Linked DNA regions of Elephas maximus indicus. The protein of the gene in region 1 purifies or fractionates together with the protein of each later gene. This does not show direct contact. Links are inferred from orthologs where the notes say so. Each region holds a gene or a part of one and is shown in the gene's direction. Other genes may lie near its edges.

The links.
Region 2: the proteins of TNFAIP3 (region 1) and TNFRSF1A purify together in Homo sapiens (affinity purification with western blotting; 7 studies listed by BioGRID, with this or other methods). This does not show direct contact. The link is inferred for Elephas maximus indicus from reciprocal best matches to the Homo sapiens genes TNFAIP3 and TNFRSF1A.
Region 3: the proteins of TNFAIP3 (region 1) and RNF11 purify together in Homo sapiens (affinity purification with western blotting; 3 studies listed by BioGRID and IntAct, with this or other methods). This does not show direct contact. The link is inferred for Elephas maximus indicus from reciprocal best matches to the Homo sapiens genes TNFAIP3 and RNF11.

The regions. Positions count from the first base shown.
Region 1 is NC_064819.1:207,627,782-207,631,528, forward strand, and holds the start of TNFAIP3 (tumor necrosis factor alpha-induced protein 3), read left to right. Parts: upstream 1-1,511; 5' UTR 1,512-1,759; intron 1,760-3,747. UniProt on the Homo sapiens protein: Ubiquitin-editing enzyme that contains both ubiquitin ligase and deubiquitinase activities.
Region 2 is NC_064822.1:63,140,928-63,144,674, reverse strand, and holds the start of TNFRSF1A (tumor necrosis factor receptor superfamily member 1A), read left to right. Parts: upstream 1-861; 5' UTR 862-1,107; coding exon 1,108-1,146; intron 1,147-3,747.
Region 3 is NC_064821.1:94,257,899-94,261,645, forward strand, and holds the start of RNF11 (RING finger protein 11), read left to right. Parts: upstream 1-948; 5' UTR 949-1,023; coding exon 1,024-1,146; intron 1,147-3,747. UniProt on the Homo sapiens protein: Essential component of a ubiquitin-editing protein complex, comprising also TNFAIP3, ITCH and TAX1BP1, that ensures the transient nature of inflammatory signaling pathways. Promotes the association of TNFAIP3 to RIPK1 after TNF stimulation.

The DNA.
Region 1 (3,747 bases):
GGGAGAGGAAATACTTTTCTAATTCAAAACTTGAGATACGTGGCTTGACAAGCATATTTAAGTACAGTCAAAAGGCTAATGGTAAAGAATATTTCAATCTGACCCTAACTTGGCTATTTTAGGAAGGAGGCCTATCGGGCACCTGTGCTTTGAGGGCCCCAAATCCCACTGCCATGGAATAGATTCTGACCCATAGCGACCCTATAAGACAAAGTAGAGCTGCCCCATAGGGTAACCAAGGCTGTAATCTTCCTCCCGGAAAGCGACTGGCTGGTGAACTCAAACCGCTAACTTTCGGTTCTTACAGGGCATCAAGGTATAAGCGCCCTAACGTCCCTCCCTGCACAATTTACGCACCTCCATCGCTCAGGTGGCTGACATCTTTACGTGAAAAAATGCAGTTACCACGCAAATAGCACATGGGGGGAATAACAAGGTATCTTGGGGCGATCTAATTATCACGACTTCTAAAGAAGACACACCTAATGAGGCCTTAGGAGGGCATGGCAAGGTCAGTAATGGACTAGAATCGATTTCTCGACGGAATGTGATGCCACCCAGGCGCTTGACGTGCAGAAATGGAGAAGGGGAAACCGCGCAAGTGCCGGGGTAGGGGCCGGATTGTTCTGAGTCCTAATTTTATCCAAGACTGGCCTTGTCATGGGATACTCAAGGCCACAGGGCCGCAGGCAGGGACAGATTACCCAAAAACAAAGTACGCAAGGGCTTACTTGTGCTTATTTACCAATCCTTGGTGCACAATTTCAGCTGCTTTTCACCATATTAAAGACGTGGTGAAACCCATGTGAAATTGTGCACCAGGGCTCACGACGTAAACACAAGTAAACCCCTGCGCACCTTGCTTCCTGGTTAATCCGCGGCAGGGAATGTCGCCTCAGGCCCGCATTCCACCCAGCCTGGGGTCGAGGTAGACAGGAAGGCTGTGGAGGGACCCAGGGCGGGTACTTCTTGTCTCCAAGCTCCGCTGCGGCCAGGTCTTGGGCTCTCCCCTAGTGCTCCCCACGTGCGCAGCCCAAGCCTCTCTACCCCCCGGCTGCGCAGCTTGCGGTCCCGGGCGCCAGGGTGGTTTTCAGGGTTTTCTTCCTCTATGATTTCCCTTCTTCTTCTCCACAACTGATGATTTTCTGCAGAAAATCTGAGAAAAAGAACCTACTTCATTTCCAGTTCCCATCACCGCGATTTCCACATGGATGTGACGTTGGGCCGAGCTTCCGAAATGCCCAGGTGACTCACGCGGGGACACCCCGGGGCGGGGCGCAGGAGTTTCTCCGCGCGGCCGGCCGGCGGGGCGGGGCGGGGCGGGGCGGGGCGGGGCGGGGCGGCCGGGAGGGCGGTCGGCGGGCCGGGCTGCGGCCGCGCGCTCGCCTCCTGCGCCCTCTGGCGGCGGGCGACTCTTCGGCCGCGAGTTCCCGGCGCCGGGCCTGGCGTCACGTGACTGGAAAGTCCCCGGGTGGAAATCCCCCGACTATCCGCAAGCCTAAAACAGAAAGGGAAAAGAGAACTGCGCAGTCTGCAGCCTGCGCTGTGGGCCAAGTGCATCCGAGCTCGCGGGGGCGGAGCGTCGGGAGCCGCCGCCGGGAGATCTGCGGCAGCTGGCAAGATCCACACCCCCAGCCTGCCGGCCAGCGAGCGAGCGAGTCTCAGTCAGCCGTCCATGGGGTGCTGCTTCGCCCTGGCCTCAACGCGCTTGCCCTAACTGGGACTTGGGACTTGGAAGAGGATCGCACTCCAGGGAGAGGTAACCGTCGCGGCACGAGCTCATCTGGGGCAAGGGCTATGGGTGCGTCTTTGGCAGCGACTGTCGAGCTTGCTGCATCTGCTTGGCATTGGTTTTGCAGTGGTTCTGGAGGGAAGTTTGTTGGCCGTTTGTGCCCATTCTAGGTGTTGAAATGCTAGGACTTGAGGTCGCCGAGCCAGATGTTGGGGTGACAGCCCTGGATCCCCCATCCAGCTGATCCTTTGCAGTAATGCAGAGAACTTGAGCTGCAGCTGACTGCTGAAGTCAGCTTTGTTAGATGGGTCATTGGTGCTTTGCTCCTTTTTCTGTCTTTTTTGGAATTAAGCGTTGCATGCTCTTGGCCACGTAGACCTTGCAGAACCACTGTGACGTCTGCCGAGATTATGCAGAACCAGCCCAACGGAGGTGGCAGGTCGCAGGGGCAACAAAACTCAGCCTGTGTGGGGGGCTTCGGTGAGCTAACCTTTCCAGGGACAGCTTCCAGACAGTGTTCTGTGCAGGAGAGGTGGGGAGGATGGGTTCTTCTCTGAAAGTTGCAGCAGTGTAAGAAGTACGCTGGAAGAAGTGGGTTGCCCGTCTGTCTTTTGGGGGCCCCAGTTTAGAAGCCATCTGCAGGCCCCCCGCACCAGTCACTACCCCACAGTCAGACTGTCACTCAGCCCAGGTCGCCCCACATCCTGCCACCTGGGCTCTCAGGAAAGCAGTGGTATTAAGTAAGGAAGGAGCTCAGCTCATTTTGAGACCACTTTGTTTTCAGTTCTCCCTGCCTCTGATCTTCCTTGGAAAGCTGGTCTGGTCAAGTGTCTCTGGGCAGCATTTGGGAGAATTGTTATTAATTGATTAAAGAGCCTGCTGGACTGCAACTCTAAATGCCCCTGATTATTGAGCAGCACAGTTAGTGCACCATTCTTACTGTCTAAGGTGCTTCTTTAGGTTTTGCAGTTCTTTCTGCAATGTTTGAATTTTTTGACAGGTACTTTCCAAAAATCTGATGAGATGTTTGCTGATAAATAATTCATAAATTTCCACACTGCAGACAAAAATGTCTGCCTAGAGTGGAAAAATAAAACCAGGGGGAGAAGACTTTGAGCAATAATAAGTTCTGTAGAATCTCATTGCCTGTAGTGACAAAAATTGGGAAATTATCTTCAAATAAGTCCAAGTGAGGTCACACAAATGTTAAAAAAAAAAAAAGGGTAATGTTGTATTCCTTTGACCTATAAGGATATTACAATCATATGACAGATACTTATATTTATGTGTCTTGCGACAGTTGACAGCTCTCGCTATTTTAGATGTTGGCTGAAGGATCTTTAGGTTCAGAAAAGCAAAATCGAAGAGTCAGAAAAGCACAAAGAGGCAATACCTAGCTTGTTTAAAATCTTACTACTTACTGCTTGCCTGTTTCCATGGAGAGTAGCAGGCACTGTAGCCACAGGTGTGGTGGCATCGGACAAGCAAGAGGCAAATATTGGAAGACTTAGACGCTAGGCAAGGCTCTGCACTGGGTAGCTGTAGGACCTTGAGCAGCGGGTCCCTCTGCTTCTGTACCTTAGCTGCAGACTAAGGTAGTTGTATGATTTCAAAGAGGGGAATAAGGTCGTATTTGATTTTTGGCCCTTGCATCAAGCGCAGTGCTGCCTTCAGTAGGTACTCACGTAGGATTTGTTAAATGTATGGATGAATGAATGACATTGTGAAAGAAACTTTTGACATGCTGCAAGGAGAATGTGTGTGTGGTATTTTTGTCCCTTGATTGCACCCTGCAATTATTCTGCCCAGCTCACGTGCAGGGGATTGCTTACATGAAAGGAGAGGTCACCATCTGACCAAGAGATTGACTCGTCCCAGGCTCCACTTGACAATCAGATGAAAAATCCTGATCCAAAAATACCATCAGAAAACTCCTCAGAAGCAGCCCCTGCCTAGTCCAACCTCTCTTCTTTGAGCGAGCCATAAGGATTTAGAATACCTTGTCAATAGCTATG
Region 2 (3,747 bases), on another chromosome or scaffold:
TTAATCCTCAGATAGGCCAGCCATTGTTACCCCATTTAATAAATGAGGAGGAGATGAGGCTCAGTGGAGGTCCTGCCTGAGGTCACACTTTTGGCTGGTGGCAGAGCCAGGACCAGCAGTTGGGGACCTGGCCAGAATGGGGGCGTCAGGGCCCCAGGCAGACCATAAACCTAGAGGTAGGACTTACTCTGAGGTTTGTGTTGGAGGGGTTAATTCCTGAGCAAGTGGGAAGGTGTCAGGGGGAATTCTGGGTAAAAGGGGAGGGTTCCTAAGGAACTCTGAGCACTTACCAAGTGTCAGGTACTTTTTTTGTCCTTTCTTAATAAATCCTTACAGCGACCCTATGAGAGAGGTTATCTCCATTTTACTAGTTGGGAAACAGGCTCAGAGAGGTTAGGTTATGTTCCAAGACCACAGAGCTAAAAAGTGACCAATCTGGAAGAATATAAACAATATCACTGAGTTGTACATGTAAAAATTGTTGAAATAGTGTATCTTTGGCTTTGTATACTTTCACCAAAATAAAAATATTAAAAAAAAAAAAGTTTAAACTATAGTTATGTAGCTATGGGGGCGGGGGGAAGTGGAGAATTCTGTACTGGAACCCATTGAATTTGACTCCAAAGCCCGGGTCTTTCCGTTGCTGTTCCATTTAGGGAAGGCCAGCTGGGGGTGGGGAGGGAGGGAGCTTACTGCACCTTGGTGACCAGCTGGGAGTGTAAAACTGGCGGGCTGGGGGCACAAGGCGACTGGATCTGGAACTCCAAGCTCTCTGACTGGACTACAAACGGTTAAGAACCTTTAACCCCCCCCTCCCCCGCCTCCTCCCTTGGCTCTTCCTGTCCCGCGGATGTTGCAACACAGCCACACTCCCGTCCCCTCCCACCTCTTCTCTCCTTTCTAGTTTTCTCGGAGCTCTTCCGACTCAGGCCTTCGGAGTCCGAGGTCCCTGGACGAGGACGGGATCTCTACTCGCGCCTCAACTTTCGAAGTCCCGCGCCCCAAGGCCTAGGCTCCACCAGGGAACTCGGGACCCCGCGGACCCCAGGAGACCGCCGCCACTGCCCTGAGCCCTGATGGGGGAGTGAGAGGCCACCCTGGCCGGACATGGGCCTCCCCACCGTCCCTGGCCTGCTGCCGCCATTGGTGAGACCAGGGATCCAGAATGGAGTGGGCTGGGGCGGGGCAGAAGGGGGCGAGATCCCGGCTGGCCCCAGCCTCGGGCCTGCTCAACCCAAACACGGTTCACGTTTCCCCATTCTTATGCCAGTGCAGAGAGGGAGCCGACAAGGCCGATTATTTGAGGGAAATGGAGAAGTTTGAAAGGGAAAGAGTAAAAGGGAGCCCTGGCCCCTGATAGCCAAGGAAGTTTGGTGGGGCCAGGGGGCGTCCGGGAATGTGCGGCAGGTGATAGGCCAAGGATGCAGTAGATTTGGCGGGGGAAGGACAGAGTGGGAGAAGGAAGACCCGTCCTCTCAGTCCAGAAGATTCAGGATTCTGTCCCTCTGGTCAGTTGGCAAGGAGCCCTGGTGTCGCAGTGGTTAAAGCGCTCGACTGCGAACCGAAAGGTTGGCGGTTTGAATACAACAGCCTCTTAGCGGGAGGGCAGTCAGCTTCCTAAAGATTTACAGCCTTGGAAACCCTGTGGGGCAGTTCTACTCTATCTTACAGGGTCGCTGTTAGTAGAAATCCACCGGAACGCAATGGGTTAGGTTTTTGGTTTGGTTAGCTGGCTAGCCGGGCCTGTGTTAGGCTATGGCGAGGGAGGCTGCCTATGGAACCTGGTTGAGCAAACCCTGTTAGAGGGCTGGAGTTGGATGGCTAGTGAAGCCGGGAAGCTGAGTCCAGGAGAGGGTGAATTGTGGGGTAGGTTTGGGAGGCTACATAGTGGGGGAGTCTTTGGGAGTCGAGTGGGAAACTGTAAGGGGGAAGGACATCTAAGTAGAGAGCGCCCCAGTGCCCTCCCAGGCCTCCCACTTGGGGCATTTGTGGCCCTTCTGCCTGTGGCTCAGCTCCCAGGCAGGGTAGCCTCTGTTGGAATAACACCTCCACCTCCCCACAAGTAACTAGTACCACCTCCACCCAGTATCCCTGCCCCTGTCCTCCCAGCCCCCTCCCTGTAGAACTAAACAACAATCCTTTGGTTTCTCCTTTTTCAGCTCAGTTTGCGGAAGTTGGTAGAAAGTTGTTTTCGTCACTGGTCACTGGAAAATGTCCCTTTCTCTTCCCTCCACCTTGTTTCAGTGTATCCTTGATCTTCGCTCCTTGTCCTTGACTCATCTTTTCCAAATGCCCTGAGCCCCCAGATTCCCCATCTAGTTGGATAGATTATCCCTGCCTGTGCTGACCAGGTCTTCTCTTTCTCCTGGGCCCCTGCCCTTCCCTGGCCCACCTCTTGCTCCCACCATCTCCCCTGTCGTTGGCATCTTATACTCTCTCTCCCAATCATTCCTCCCTTTTCTATCACTCTCCCCTTCTCAGAGTCTCCTTTTTGAGACCTTTTTTTCTCTTATTCTTTCTTGCTGCCCCACTTCTCTGCTCTAGTGCCATGTTTCTAGACCCTGGGTACCCCAAGCACCTCTCTCTATCATGGTCTCACTGTTCTTCTCATTCGCTCACCTCCTGTCTCCCTACTCCCATCTTCTCTTCCTTTCTTTCATGGGTGTCCTGCCTCCATGATCTTCCCCCAGTTTACAGCCCTGACATCTTCTGTTCTCTCTTTGGGGTGGATCACCTGGGTTTGAATCCTGGCTGTACCATGTAATAGCTGAGCAAGTTACTTAACCTCTTAGTTTGTTTGTCTGTAAAATGGACATAATAGTCATTACCTCACAACGTTGTTTTCAAGATTAAATGGAATAATGTATGTTAAGTACTCATTGATTTATTAAGTGCCTGGGTGGTACAAGCGCTTAATGTGCTGGGCTGCCAACTGGAGGTTTGAGTTCACCCAGAGGCACTTCAGAAGGAAGGCCTGGTGATTTACTTCTGAAAAACCAGCCATTGAAAACCTTATGAAGGACAGTTCTACTCCGATACATGTGGGGCTTCCATGAGTTGGAATTGACAACTGGTTGTTGTCAGTCTTCATTAGGCACTGTTTTAGGCGCTGGGGTTACAGCAGTGAACAGAATTTCTGCCCTCATGGAGTTTAGTAGAGGACTGTTGTTTTTGTAGCTGCCATCTAGTTGATTGCTGTGAGTTGGGGTGCTGGCTGCAGATGAGGTACATTGGCTGGAAATCAAACCCAGGTCTTCCACATGGAAGGTGAGAATTCTACCGCTGGACCACCAAAGTCCACTAAACCAGAAAACCAAACCCATTACCACTGAGTCAATTCTGACTCATAGTGACCCCACAGGACAGAGTAATCTGCCCCACAGGATTTCCAAGGCTGCCACATCTTTCTCCCGTAGAGTAGCTGGTAGGTTTTAACCGGTCACCTTTTGGTTAGCAGCCGAGCTCTTTAACCACTGTCACCAGGGCTTCCAGCGCCCACTAAGACCAAATGAAACCTGTTGCTGTCGAGTTGATTCCAACTCATATCGACCCTAATGCCCACTAAAAAAAAAAATGCCCACTAGGGTGTAGAAAATAGAAAGCACTCAATAAACTTTAGCTCTTCTTTTTTTTTTAACGTTAGCTTTTATATTATTAGTATTATTGGTAATTACTCAGTGAACATCTGTGTCTGGAAAACAGAGGGTAAAGTTAGACTGAACAGATAAAGGAAAGTGCCTGGGGGCT
Region 3 (3,747 bases), on another chromosome or scaffold:
GCTGTAGCACTTAACCACTACGCCACCAGGGTTTCCGGACTTGGACTATAAAAAATAGCGGTGGGAATAAAAAGAAATGGAGCAATCTGAGATAAACAGCTGGAACAATCTCTTTGGCTGTGATGTTGGAGAATAAGGAAAGTGATTGGAGAGGTAGGGAGAGTTCATTAATAAGCTTGCACTTTATTCTGAAAGGATAAAGGGAGGCCATTTACATTTTAACCAAGGGAATGATCCATTTAGATATGCGTTTATAAATAGATCACTTGGCAGCTGAGGGTGTTGAGATTATCGGAATAGTGCACACGGCGGAGCTCAGCTGAGACAAACCGGGCGGAAGCACGGAGTGGAGAGGAGCGAGAGGCTGGAGAGGCTTCGAAGTCAGGTACCGAGCCAAACTGTCACAAAAATAAGCAGAAACTGACGCAGCCCCAGGAACAGCTGCTAGCGGGGAAGAGGAGGTTGGTCAACGCGCCGCGGGAGCCGCCCAGGCCTCCCGGCGCCGAGGGCGGGACCAGGGCACGCACAGCGGGATGACGCAGGGCCCAGGCCGGCCTTGTTCTGGCCGCCGCCGCCGCCGCGCTGAGGCGGAGTAGGATGAGGCCCGCGGTCGGGGCTTCGGCGTCGGCGGGGACAGCAGCAGCTGAGGCAGCAGCTGAGGCAGCCGTGACGGCCGCGCCCCCCCCTCCTGACCTGGATTAGGCCCAGCAGCTCCGTGGCCGCCGCCGCCCCGCGGGGGGGCGGGGTGGGGAAGTGCCCCGTCTCCCCGCCCCCCCCAACACCGCCTGGCAGGAGGCAACCGTCGCGACCCCAGTGGAGCCCGCGGCCCAGGCTTGAGCCCCCACCCCCGGGGGCTGGCATGAGCGGCCCCTCGGCGGCGCCGGGGGGCGGGGGAGCCGCTGCCGCCTGAGCTCCGGCCTGCCGCCCGACCCCACCTCGCCGACCGAGGCTGACCGCGGAGCGTGCAGACGGCCCCGCCACTCCTTTCTTCCTCCCCCAGATTACACACCCCAGCCCCGGAAGATGGGGAACTGTCTCAAATCCCCCACCTCGGATGACATCTCCCTGCTTCACGAGTCTCAGTCCGACCGGGCTAGCTTTGGTGAGGGGACGGAGCCGGATCAGGAGCCGCCGCCGCCATATCAGGTAGGGGAGGTTGTGTGTTCGAGAAAGCGGGGGGGGGAGGGGGGGAGGGGGGGGGAGGGGCGGGGGGCGAGGATCAGGCAGGTCTGGCCGAGATTTGAGGGGGCTTCAGGACCATCACTGCCCCTAGCCCCGGCTAGGCCTGGTTGGGGCTGTTTGCTATTCTGGGGCTGAGTCTTAAGGGTGATTGCCCTCCACTCCCAGAATAGGGGTGATCCTTCACCTCCCCTCTGGCACCGTGTAGGGGTGGTGCTCTCTGTCCTTGCGTTCTGGGAGCGAGTTTGCGGTCATATCCCTTTGGCAAGAGTCTGGTGATTAGTTTGTGAAGTTTTGGAGTGACATTATTTTCCTGCCTTTATGTCTGAATCCAAAAGTCGGAGTTGTGGGGTTGGGGGTAATTTCCTCATCGTACCGCCAGCTGGATTATGGGTTCTGGATAAGTAAGTGGTTACCTCCCACCAACTCCATTTGTATTTTCATGTGTGATCATCTTCCCCTCCCCCCTCCTACCCCCACCCCTCCTTCTGTCTGTGTTAATTGGATCTGGTGGGTGTTCATTTCTCCCTCTACTTGGGAGAGGATCTCCAACTGGTGATTTTAGTCCCAGCGACATTGAGTTACTTGTTTATATGTATGTATATATTTGTTGATTTTTTTTTAACCCCACCTCACTTTTGCTCCACCCCTATGACACACCTTATAAAATGTGCTGACTTAATAAAACTTGATTAGCTTCAGAACTTTGGAAACCTTTAAACCTGACTTGGGAAATACCTTCTGTTAGTTGTGATTCTCTCTGTATCAAAGGCTTTCTCCTAAATAGGTTTCATTGCGTTTTGTACAGCAACCTGCAGGCCCAGATGTGTTTACAGAGTTAATAAGAAACTAAAACAGGAAACTCAAAATAGAATATGCAGATGTTAATAATCCATCATACATATACACCCCTTTTCTTCTGCGTTTCCAATTTTAAATGATGTTGAATAAAAACTTTTTTCCCAGAAGGGCTTGAATATTTAGTCCTTAGTTTTTTCCTGAAGGGAGTTTAGTTTTTCTAACTGGGCGGTCTCCTTTGTTGTTTCATGTGGTGACATCATTATCTAGTGTTCTTTTTTCATTCCTGTGTAAACTTGTGTCTCATCACACAAGAAAAACCTGATCACATATGCTGGTTTTCTGAGTAAAACCCTTCAGAGACCTTTCATATCTATCAATCAAGCCCAGTCTTATTGTGGCATACAGATTCCCCCATGACTTATCTCTCACATTCTGTATTCCAGGCCTGCCAAGTACACCAGGCTGTTCACACCTCTCTACCCCCGCCCCCCCCCCAAGGTCTGCCAGGTGAACATCTGATTCCCTTTGAGAACTCAGTTGTTAGGTCCACATATCTGAAGCTTTTCCTGATATTCCCCTACCTCTATCCCTGAATCCATCACTCTCATTTGTGTCCCCTTGTGCGCATCTGTAAGCACTACCTGTAACATTTTAGTGAATGTTCTTGTTTAGTTAGATGAATGTCACATCCTTGAGGAGTTCCCTCCTCCCCCAGTATAAGCTGCATGAAGGTAGACCGTGTGTCTTCCTGTTTGCTGCTGAATCCGCAGCGTCTGGCACATAGTATTCAGTAACTGGGATAAATGAATATACCCCTTGAGAACAGGAACTGTGACTCCAATATTTTGCACATTTTCTGCCACATAAGAAGCACTTAAATGTTGAATGAATTAATGAATTTAAATTCAGTATCATGTTTTCTACATTTACACACCCATTTCCCCAAAGAATTGTCACAGTGGTAATCTTTTAAAAATGCAGGCCACATCTGGACGTCTTTCCGAACAAATATCTTTTGAGTGAAGCAAGTAACCTGTGTTTATACTTGCCTTTGTCACCCCCCCATATATATGTTTGTGTGTGCATATATATATATGTAATTCATTTCCATTTCAGGAGAGACAGTTTTTTAGAGATGTGAACTTTTATTTCAGAGTTCCCCCTTTTGTGTTCTCTAGCCTGTTTCCAGGCAAGTTGAATGTCTTGACTTGTTGCCCTCTCTCCTATCCTTATGGTAATTACGGTATTAAGGAGTATTTCTTTAGAATTTATGGAAATAATATAGTATTTGCCCTAACCAGAAGGACTAGATGATAATGATGGTTTTTTGGTATCACAAAGGAACAGTTTTTGAAACATGTTATTTCTGACAGTGGGTATTTTCTTGTGGTTACCCTTTCCTGAAGTGAATGATATGCAAATTTAGTATCATTTGGAAGAAAATAATTACTTTAAAAGGTGGGAGCGTAAAAAGAGAAACTTGTGCAAAAAATGTCCCCCGAAGGAAATAATATTTCTTAGGAATGGTTAATTTACATGATCTAAGAAACACCAAATAAAATATTTTTGGTAAATGATTTATAATGTTTTCATTGGATCTAAGTAATGTATTTTTGTAAAAGAATTAGTATATAATTAACAGCTACAGGAATATAGGCTTATTTTTTAAGAAATTGTTAGCTGCAATGGGATTTTTTTTTTTTTTAGTAAAGAATAGCTGATTATAAAGAAACACATGTTGTTTTTCTGTAGTGAGTAGTTATGTAA